2 linked regions of the Kluyveromyces lactis genome follow. The protein of the gene in region 2 purifies or fractionates together with the protein of the main gene of each other region. This does not show direct contact. Links are inferred from orthologs where the notes say so. Each region holds a gene or a part of one and is shown on either strand. Other genes may lie near its edges.

Region 1 (4,558 bases), about 2.0 Mb from region 2:
TTCCTTTTTTTTTTTTCAGACTCATTCATGTCATCGAAACTGCCTTGATATGGCTTGACTCATCTGAAATCTGAATTTTTTCTTTCCCATAATTGAAATATGGTCAATGAAAAGAAATATGGTAAAATTCCCACTCAATTTCGAGCTAAAGTCTAATCATGACCAATTTTCGTGAATATTCCTGTGGATTTTAAATCCGATGAACGTAGATTTTTGCAGCAGGTATTGACAAACACCTTCCGAATGATGCTAAGGTAGTCACTGAGAGTAGTGAGAGCAGCAAGAGAGCAGAGAGGGCTACCCAAGCATTTAGGTTTGGCTATTGAGTAATGAATAGTATACTCGTCGGTCCTTTCATGATGTCTCTCTTTTTTTCTTGGGAATATTCATGCTTGAAAATATGGGGCCCAAGGTTGACCTTTGGTCGAATGGTCGAATGGTTGCGAAATATATGTTGATACATATACATTTCTTATACATATGTATGGCGAAGTAAAAGGTGGATAAAAAAGTGAGCGTTTACGCTAGATATTCATAGCATTCACCGTCGTCTGTCCTTTTCAAATACTCTTGTTCTATTAGATTGTCGACAGCTTTTTTGATCATGGACACCTTGGCGTTGAATCTCTGTTGAGATTCGGCAATACACTCGTTCATCAATGAACTGTGTGGTAGTTTTCTCTTTGCCTTCATAATTCTCACTATGCATGCTCTTAAGAACATCAATCTTTGTTGATTTAGTTCCTTTTCTGCTTTCTTTTGCTCAGATGCCTCTGTTTCATCTAATGCAGATCCATTAACGGTTGCAGTAAAGGTTAGATCATTTTTCACAGCGGCTGCAAAATTAACACTAGTTTTCGATAATCGATAGGGTTTGTTTAAGGTGTACTTTGTATCTAACTTGATCATACTTTCCACCCCTTCTGGAGATTGTATTAATAGTTTCATCTTCACAAACGGATACATATTAGACGCAATCTGTGTAGCCTTCAAATTGGTTCTCTCTTGTATTTGTTCAAAGGTCAACGTAGATATATCATTAAACAAGGTAAGAATCGCCATTTGGAAAATAGTCACAGTGAATTGGAATGGTGGTTTGCCTGGTTTACCAATATGTGCCTTGATTTCACCACGAGACATTGGCCATAGCCATTTCAATATTCTACCAGAATGCTTGTCAGTATACATGGTTTCCAATTTGTTCTTACTATGTTCAAGAACTGGTGGTAATGCGAATTCTGTTGGTTGATAGCTGAAGGGCCATACATTGTCTGCAAGAATTAGAGGTTCTAATTCAGGAACTTTGCTTCTGAAAGTTGCGGCGCTAGTAGTATTATTCCCATCTTGTGAAATGAACGTGGAAAATTCATCATGCAAGTTTTTAGATAATTTGACATCTTGTAGCATCTTGGTAATCTTGCTGGTGTATTCAAGACTGTTCTCGGACTGTAGTCTTTGGATAATGATTTCTTCATCAGCTTCTGATTTTGATGATCCATGAATTAATCTTTTTGCTAAATTTTTTCGGTAATGCATCTCAAATGCATCCTTGTCGGCCAAGAACTTAAAGACAGTCATGATATCATCCACGGTCAAATCTACCTGTTCATTATTCTTGGTCGACTTTTTGAGCAACTGGTCACTGTATTTCGCCAACATCTCAGGAGCTCTAGAAGTCGCAAATTTAGGTGAACCAGGAGGAATAGCGAATGAGTTATTGTTAATGAAGCAACGGCATCCATAGTCTAAAGCCTTAGCAAAAGCAGGATGATTTTCAAAACATTCTATGGTGATATTGTAAAAGAGTTTGTAAACTCCTATTAAACATTTCAAGTAATCTCTAGGTGATAATCCCGGTTGCCTTTTAGCGTTTGAATCTTGTGCTGCACTCTTATTATGTGCATCAATTAATTTATCGATTTCTTCATTTCCGACTCTCTTGATGTACATATCAAAAGTATCCACCAAATCTGGTAACATTCGGTAATCGCGTTTCATCAATTCGTATATGAGCTTAATCAATCTTTGATCTTGCTTATCCAAAAGTAAAATAAACTCTTTTTTTAACTTATCGGCATGATCAGCAATCAAAACTTGGTTCAAAGCTGTAGACAATGGTGCCGATGTATGGGAATCCAAATATAAAATCATGTCCTTTTCTTCGAAGATTATGCATTCATTTGCCTTTTCGATGTATTCAGAGACACTGTGAGAGTCTAAGAATTCGTTGGACATCTTCGTGTAGTATTCTTTTGTCTTCTGTAGGAATGGCTGTTCGAAGTTTTGAATATACACATTCAAATTCAACTTCTTTAAGTCTGATGGATCGATACCTAATATCACAAAGGATTTTATTGCTATTGTAATAGCAGATTTATTCACTAATTCACCCCTCCGCTGCAAATCCAATTGATCGAATATTTCAGTAACGAGTTCCGTCTTATGTGTTTCAAACATAACTTCTTTCCACGTCATCAAGCACAAAGTATGTGCATCGAAAATGTGTCTTTTACCATCGCTTCTTTCCTTTTGCACCCAGTAACGGTTCATATAGTCGAAGACCCGATTTAAGAAAATAGCTCCGATTGTAAATCTTTCCCAGCGTCTCACGTAGAAATTCAAAAACGTTACATTATCATCTTTCTTTAAATTCGATATGTAATCTTTCAAATAATTCTTTAAGTTCTCATAGATTTCTCCTCCAACAAGAATCGAAGATTGATTCATTTGCTTCCCTATAATATCAGATTGGAAATGACCTGTAGAACGTGACTTGTTGACACAGTAATTATAAATCGCCGTGTATACCTCCATGTACATCCTTGGGGAAAGAACTTTCTGAACTCTGTTTGTCTTTATATCCGATGTACCATCACGATCCAAGATCTGGTCGATCCCAGGCTTCACAAAGTTCCATGTTGCTTCCAAATCATCTGATCTAGGTAATGTGTCTGCCATAGCTTATTAGACTTGTTTCTTATTGATTGCACGTGTAGTTTCTTTTACCAGTAATATTTCTATTGAACGATGCCTAAGTTATCTTTTCTGAAGCGTTAATGAGACTTGCTTCCCACTAACCCAGTTAAATATACGCTTTAGAATAATAGTATTCCCAAGGGCGCAGGTAGCGGTACTTGTAAATAAAGATTTGGTAGTAAACTGAAATCAGCAGCGATAGAAAATACAGTTCGAGTCCCAATTAGTCGAGCAACCCTTTTCAATGAATCGAAAGAAAGGATAAAACAGAATAGAAAGCGCCTTCACTGCTAAATATGAAATGCACCACTTGTTGGCGGGATCCTATAAAAAAGGGTCACACAGGAAAACTTTATATTGCTTCTATCGTGAAGTATCTCCGAGTTGTTCGATATTTTGACCCTTTTTGACAGCCTTACTTGTTATATACTGATTTATATAATTGCATACTATGTTACTATAATTTCTTATATTTTTGTTTTCGTTTGCCACACATTATTGGAATATCAAAAAATCCTGAATTGTTCCTCAATATGAATCTGATCTTATTATTAAAGTACTTAAAAGAGGGTAAGGATTACAGCTTTCGGCAAATATACTTTAGCATACTGCAGTCGTCTAATTATGTTGTTTAATACAGGGCCCAAACTTATATGTTTATAAGGTTTTCTTTGGTACTTTTGATTTTCTTTTGTTGGGTTTGTAAACAAATTATGTACTCTCATGGAATAATGATTTATTTAAAACAATTAATCTACAGGCGTCTTAAGTCGGAAGGGCCCGTTTCAAGAATAGTCTTAGGGTCTTGGAGCACCAGAACTGACTCTTTCCACGACCCTTAATATGCTAATACTGAACGTTACAACCCAAGTGACCAAGACCAAGAAAAGGAACGCCGCGAGCGCCCTTTGTTTGTCACATATATATCCTACGTGCGGAGGATCAACTTGTGACGTTCCAGTAGATGTGCAGACCCATCGATTATCATATAATGTATTGAAGGTAAGCGATAAATTAGCACTTGAAAATATGATGAATAAAAGGTCCAGCATAATTAGTCTGACTTTAGTCATAGGATCTCTAATTCCTAGCGGTTTCCCTGAAAATTCGTCATATCCGATATAAACCAAATATAATATAGCGATGGAATTAACACATAGCGCCATGATAGTACTTGGTTGTTGAGGTATTGATGATTCGAAGGATTCGACAGTGGAATCCGAGTTCTGGTATATTCTACTTGCTAGGCCAAGAGAGATTATGCAGAGTATCACAATGAGAAATCTCAACGACAAAGGTAGATATTGACTTTGCAATAAAAGTCTTCGTAGTCTTGGTAACCATTGTTGTTTTTTTCTTTGTTCAAGGGTAGCCCAAGAGTTTTTCTTACTATTCACACTATTTCTCCCCTTGTTTAAAATAGAATGAAACCTCCCATCGTCACTTGAATGAGTTTCCGAAGATTGTTTCGCAGAGTCCTTATTCAAGTAGTAAAAAGCTTTGAGTTGGGAAACGTATTTAAGCCACTCATTCTTGTCTCGTTGATTACTCAATTCGTAGCTTTCAGGAATCGGAGCGTTGA
Region 2 (4,026 bases):
GATGATAAAGCAATGAAAATGCGAGCAAACTGGGGTAGCTCGTTATATATCTGGTTTATCTTCGATCAAAAGTTAAAACAACAAAATTTAAAACAAAACCTCACAGAGTAGAAAACACCAAGACTATTTTTATTCTTAACTCGAAGGTCATAAAACACCAAGTACCCAATACAAACCTGTTCGACCACTGGCTCACCCGACTTATGTATGATTGAAGTCTTAAAAACAGAGGAACATTAATACCTTGCATGAAAACGTCTGCTCATGGTGACAACCCTTTTTTTCTTATTATTTCCTTTCCTTTTCTTTTCAAGGATTCCCAGTCACATTTCTCTACTACGATATTTTCTAAGCTGTTTGGTGAGAATCTGGAAACCAAAAGACGGTCATGTTGACAATGAAAAATGGAAGATGTGTTAGTTTGGCTTTCGAAGAAGAAAACGGTGCGCTGTTACGTTTCAACGAGGCTCATCATCTTAATCATTATGGTGCGATCTTATAATTAGATTCCGCGCATATACGACGGTCGAATTAAATGACGAATTCCACAACTTCGCATGCTCGACATTTGACTTTTTAACGTTGATGGTTTCGGGGTTAATGAAGCCAGGTAGGTACATTGATTTTAAACATTGTTCCGAGCACGATAAAACTTTCAGAAACTGATCGTTGAGTAATGTATTCGTTCGAAAAAGAATGGCATTATGTGGCCTCTGTATTTAGGCAGCAGTTGAGACTAGAAATAAGTTACAATATAAACTTTTGTATTTAGTTATGCTAGTTTTGAAGATGTTGAACACAATTGTTCCTTCACTTCTGTACCATTAGCTATAGTGTAATCGGTGCAACAATGCCAATGGTTCTACGACAGGGCTCTCAAATATCATCAAAATGCCACATTTTCACTTCGCCCAGCTCGTCTCCGCTAACAAATGAACTGTCACCAATTCCTACACATACAATAGGAGCCTTGTGTCCTGTAAAAGTTTGTATGCATTTACCATTTTGAAGATCCCAAACTTTGATGCTCTTATCGTGAGAGCCACTGACAATTCTGAAGTTATCAGCAGCGATATCCCAAACACCTTCAACATGTCCAAATTGAGTTCTAATGCATCTACCTGAACTGACTTCCCAGAGTTTGATGGTGTTATCCAATGAACATGAAAGCAAATGTGTAGGGTATTTCAAATTCGGATCGAATATTCCTGTACAGTCATCTGCAAAATCTTCTTCTAACTCTGGGTTGGGTACTTTTTCAATTTTTTCATCCACCACTAAATTTTCTGTGTCTTTGATCGTTAATGGAATAACTTTTTGCACTTGACCAACATGTCCTCTGAAAACTTTAATACACGAATTAGTACGGATATCCCACATTCTTAATGTTTTGTCGTCACTGGAACTGTAACAAGTGAAACTTTTTGGATGTAGTTTAACACAGTTGACCCATTCCGTATGGCCCCGCAACGTATAACAAGTCCTAGATTCAACATGCCACACTTTAACTGTTTTATCAGCAGAAGCACTCACAATGATTTTTTTGTATGAATCCACCGATAGCACAGAATCCTGGTGGCCTCTATAAGTTGATATACAGGACCCTGTAATGTAGTTCCATACTCTGATTGTCTTGTCTAAAGAAGCTGTGATCATTTTCTGATCATCAAAATAAATACCCTTCACACCATCCGTGTGCCCGGTGAGTCTTCTAATCAAATTACCAGATTTTGTGTCCCATATAGCCACCGTTGAATCGTATGACCCAGTGAAAAGCAGTCTGTGGTTGAACTTTAATGACAATACCCCATCCATATGGCCTTTGAAGAGCTGAATTCTACATCTTCCATTTCTCCAATTGGATTCCACTTGGAACCGTTCCCTATATATTACTTTCCAGGGTCTCGTATAGTACCTGCTATTCCTAGCCCTAGCGGCAACAGTTTGGTTGGGAGAGTTGCCAGGATTGATTAGTGACTTTCCGCCTCCAATTTCATTCCCGTTGCCGTTTGCAACATTTTGGAATTGATTGCCGTTTTGATTATGGACATGTGCTTCATTTACAGGTAAGTATCTTGCCCTCTTCATATGGAGTAAGGGTAGACCCCATCCACAGTTTGGACATTTTCTATCAATATGCTGTTCGCACATATGGTACCATACCCTATCGTCATCAGCTAGTGTTTTCCACCTCTTACATGTTAGCGAGGCGATGCAAAGAGACTGACAGTCAAGGTAACCTAAAATTTTCAAAGAAAGTTCCTCTGGTAAGGTTGAAATGAAATCGATCTTAATCAATTGTTTTACCTCATCAGCAATATAAGATAGCTGGGGAAAACAACAAAGCTGTAATATTCCTTCCAGCATTAATCTTCGTATCTTATCATTGCTATGCTGGAAATTGTCTAGCGTTTGTTTGATAATTGCTCGGTCTGATTCCTTGTCCAAAGCTTTCATTTTCTCCATCCACTTCTCCGACCGTACCTGATCTTGGAAAACCATCGAATCCTTACAAGTGTGTTGAATATCTGGATTATGACGGTAGCAGAATTTAAAGAAATTGAACTGAGGCATTTCACTCGGAAGCTGTATTTCCTCATTGTTTTGATTGACCTTGGAAGCTTTGTTTCGTAGAATTTCCCCCTTCCCATCAGTATCCTGTCGTTGATCTGACACTCCATTCGAATCTACATCTTCGAACTTACGCTTTAAATCCGGTCTGCATGTCTGTTGAAGGTTAAACTCCATTTTGAAATACGATCGTAACTCGTATGGTATATTTGAATATATTGATGAGATAAAATGATGGGGTATATTGACTCAAAACAACTTCCCTAGCGTTCTCTTTCCAAAATGTTTATTCTGTTCCTCAAACTTTTGTAAATATACCAGAACCAGTGATCAAAGTGATGCAGTACTGCAAAACCCTTCGTTTATGTCTCTTATCCACAAGGATATAATTCCTTTCCTTGATTCACAGGAAAATTCTATAAGAACACCACCAATGATGAGCACTAGTACCTTTCTTTACCGAAACTTGTTGTTCTTCCCTATCTGAGCTCTCTCCGCTGCTGATCTTTCGTTTGTTCTGAAAATTTCCAAACCGCTTAATACAACAAATATGATGCTTTATATAAATCAAACAAACTATTGGTAGATCGGGAAGTGAGACGCCCCTTTAAGGATTAAGAAGTCTTACTTTGGCAGTGTTTTTCCTTTTGAAGAAGTCCTTTGTCAGTCAAGAGTTTTGTTTAAGTTTCGATATTTTTACTTTTTTTCTCTGCGCTAAATTTCAGTACTAGCTAAAATCCGTTCTTACTATCTTTATGGGAAAAAAAGATATGTTTGTACTGCTAGGGTAGGTAAGCCACACTTTACAGGTTATCTGGCTTATTACAAGGATATTCCATGTTTTGATCTGACTAAAAGCCAAGAATATAACATGGCACATTTTCCCTTGAAAATCAGTCATTATATATGTATAGTGTAACCTGCTACTGTGCATTCGGTCATTATGCGCTTTTCTGTGTTCATCTCTGGTTCTTTCCAGCGGTGTCTCTGGTGAGGTAAGCTATCTGGATTTTTCTCGTTCATTCACGTGATCAAAATTGCCACAACGACAGAGACAGAATCGAAGACAATCAGTAAGAACGGACACTGGTTCGATCATGCAGGGCTGAAAGGCAGGAGTCAAATACCTACTATGCTGACTTCAAATATTGTCTACAACATGCAATATATTGCTATTGTCACAATTTTTGCTGTATCAATTTATCTATATTAACTTACATTATACACAAGGATACAATAAGGTGCCCATGCATAAGATTTTATATATATAATTATGGTGAGGAAAAGTGCTAATCATTTTAGACACGACAGTTAGAAATTTCGAATACCATGATATCTTCTGCACCGTTTTTTTTCAAGTCATCCATAATATCACCTTTGTTTTTCCTTTCGATCATGGATGAAACCGCTACCCATCCACTGTCGTTGATTTGAGAGATGGTTGGTGCTCTCCTT

Evidence for each region. Proteins that work in one complex are often made in the same cells at the same time.
Region 1: the proteins of MET30 (region 2) and CDC53 purify together in Schizosaccharomyces pombe (affinity purification with western blotting; 3 studies listed by BioGRID, with this or other methods). This does not show direct contact. The link is inferred for Kluyveromyces lactis from reciprocal best matches to the Schizosaccharomyces pombe genes pof1 and cul1.

What each region holds. Positions count from the first base shown.
Region 1 is NC_006042.1:536,321-540,878, reverse strand, and holds CDC53 (cullin CDC53), read right to left. Parts: upstream 2,959-4,558; coding exon 520-2,958; downstream 1-519. Other genes in the region: SRF1 (phospholipase D regulator), read right to left, coding at 3,774-4,558. UniProt on the Schizosaccharomyces pombe protein: Core component of multiple cullin-RING-based SCF (SKP1-CUL1-F-box protein) E3 ubiquitin-protein ligase complexes, which mediate the ubiquitination of target proteins.
Region 2 is NC_006042.1:2,545,255-2,549,280, reverse strand, and holds MET30 (ubiquitin-binding SDF ubiquitin ligase complex subunit MET30), read right to left. Parts: upstream 2,749-4,026; coding exon 877-2,748; downstream 1-876. Other genes in the region: HIS1 (ATP phosphoribosyltransferase), read right to left, coding at 3,870-4,026. UniProt on the Schizosaccharomyces pombe protein: Probably recognizes and binds to some phosphorylated proteins and promotes their ubiquitination and degradation. Required for the inactivation of zip1 via ubiquitination.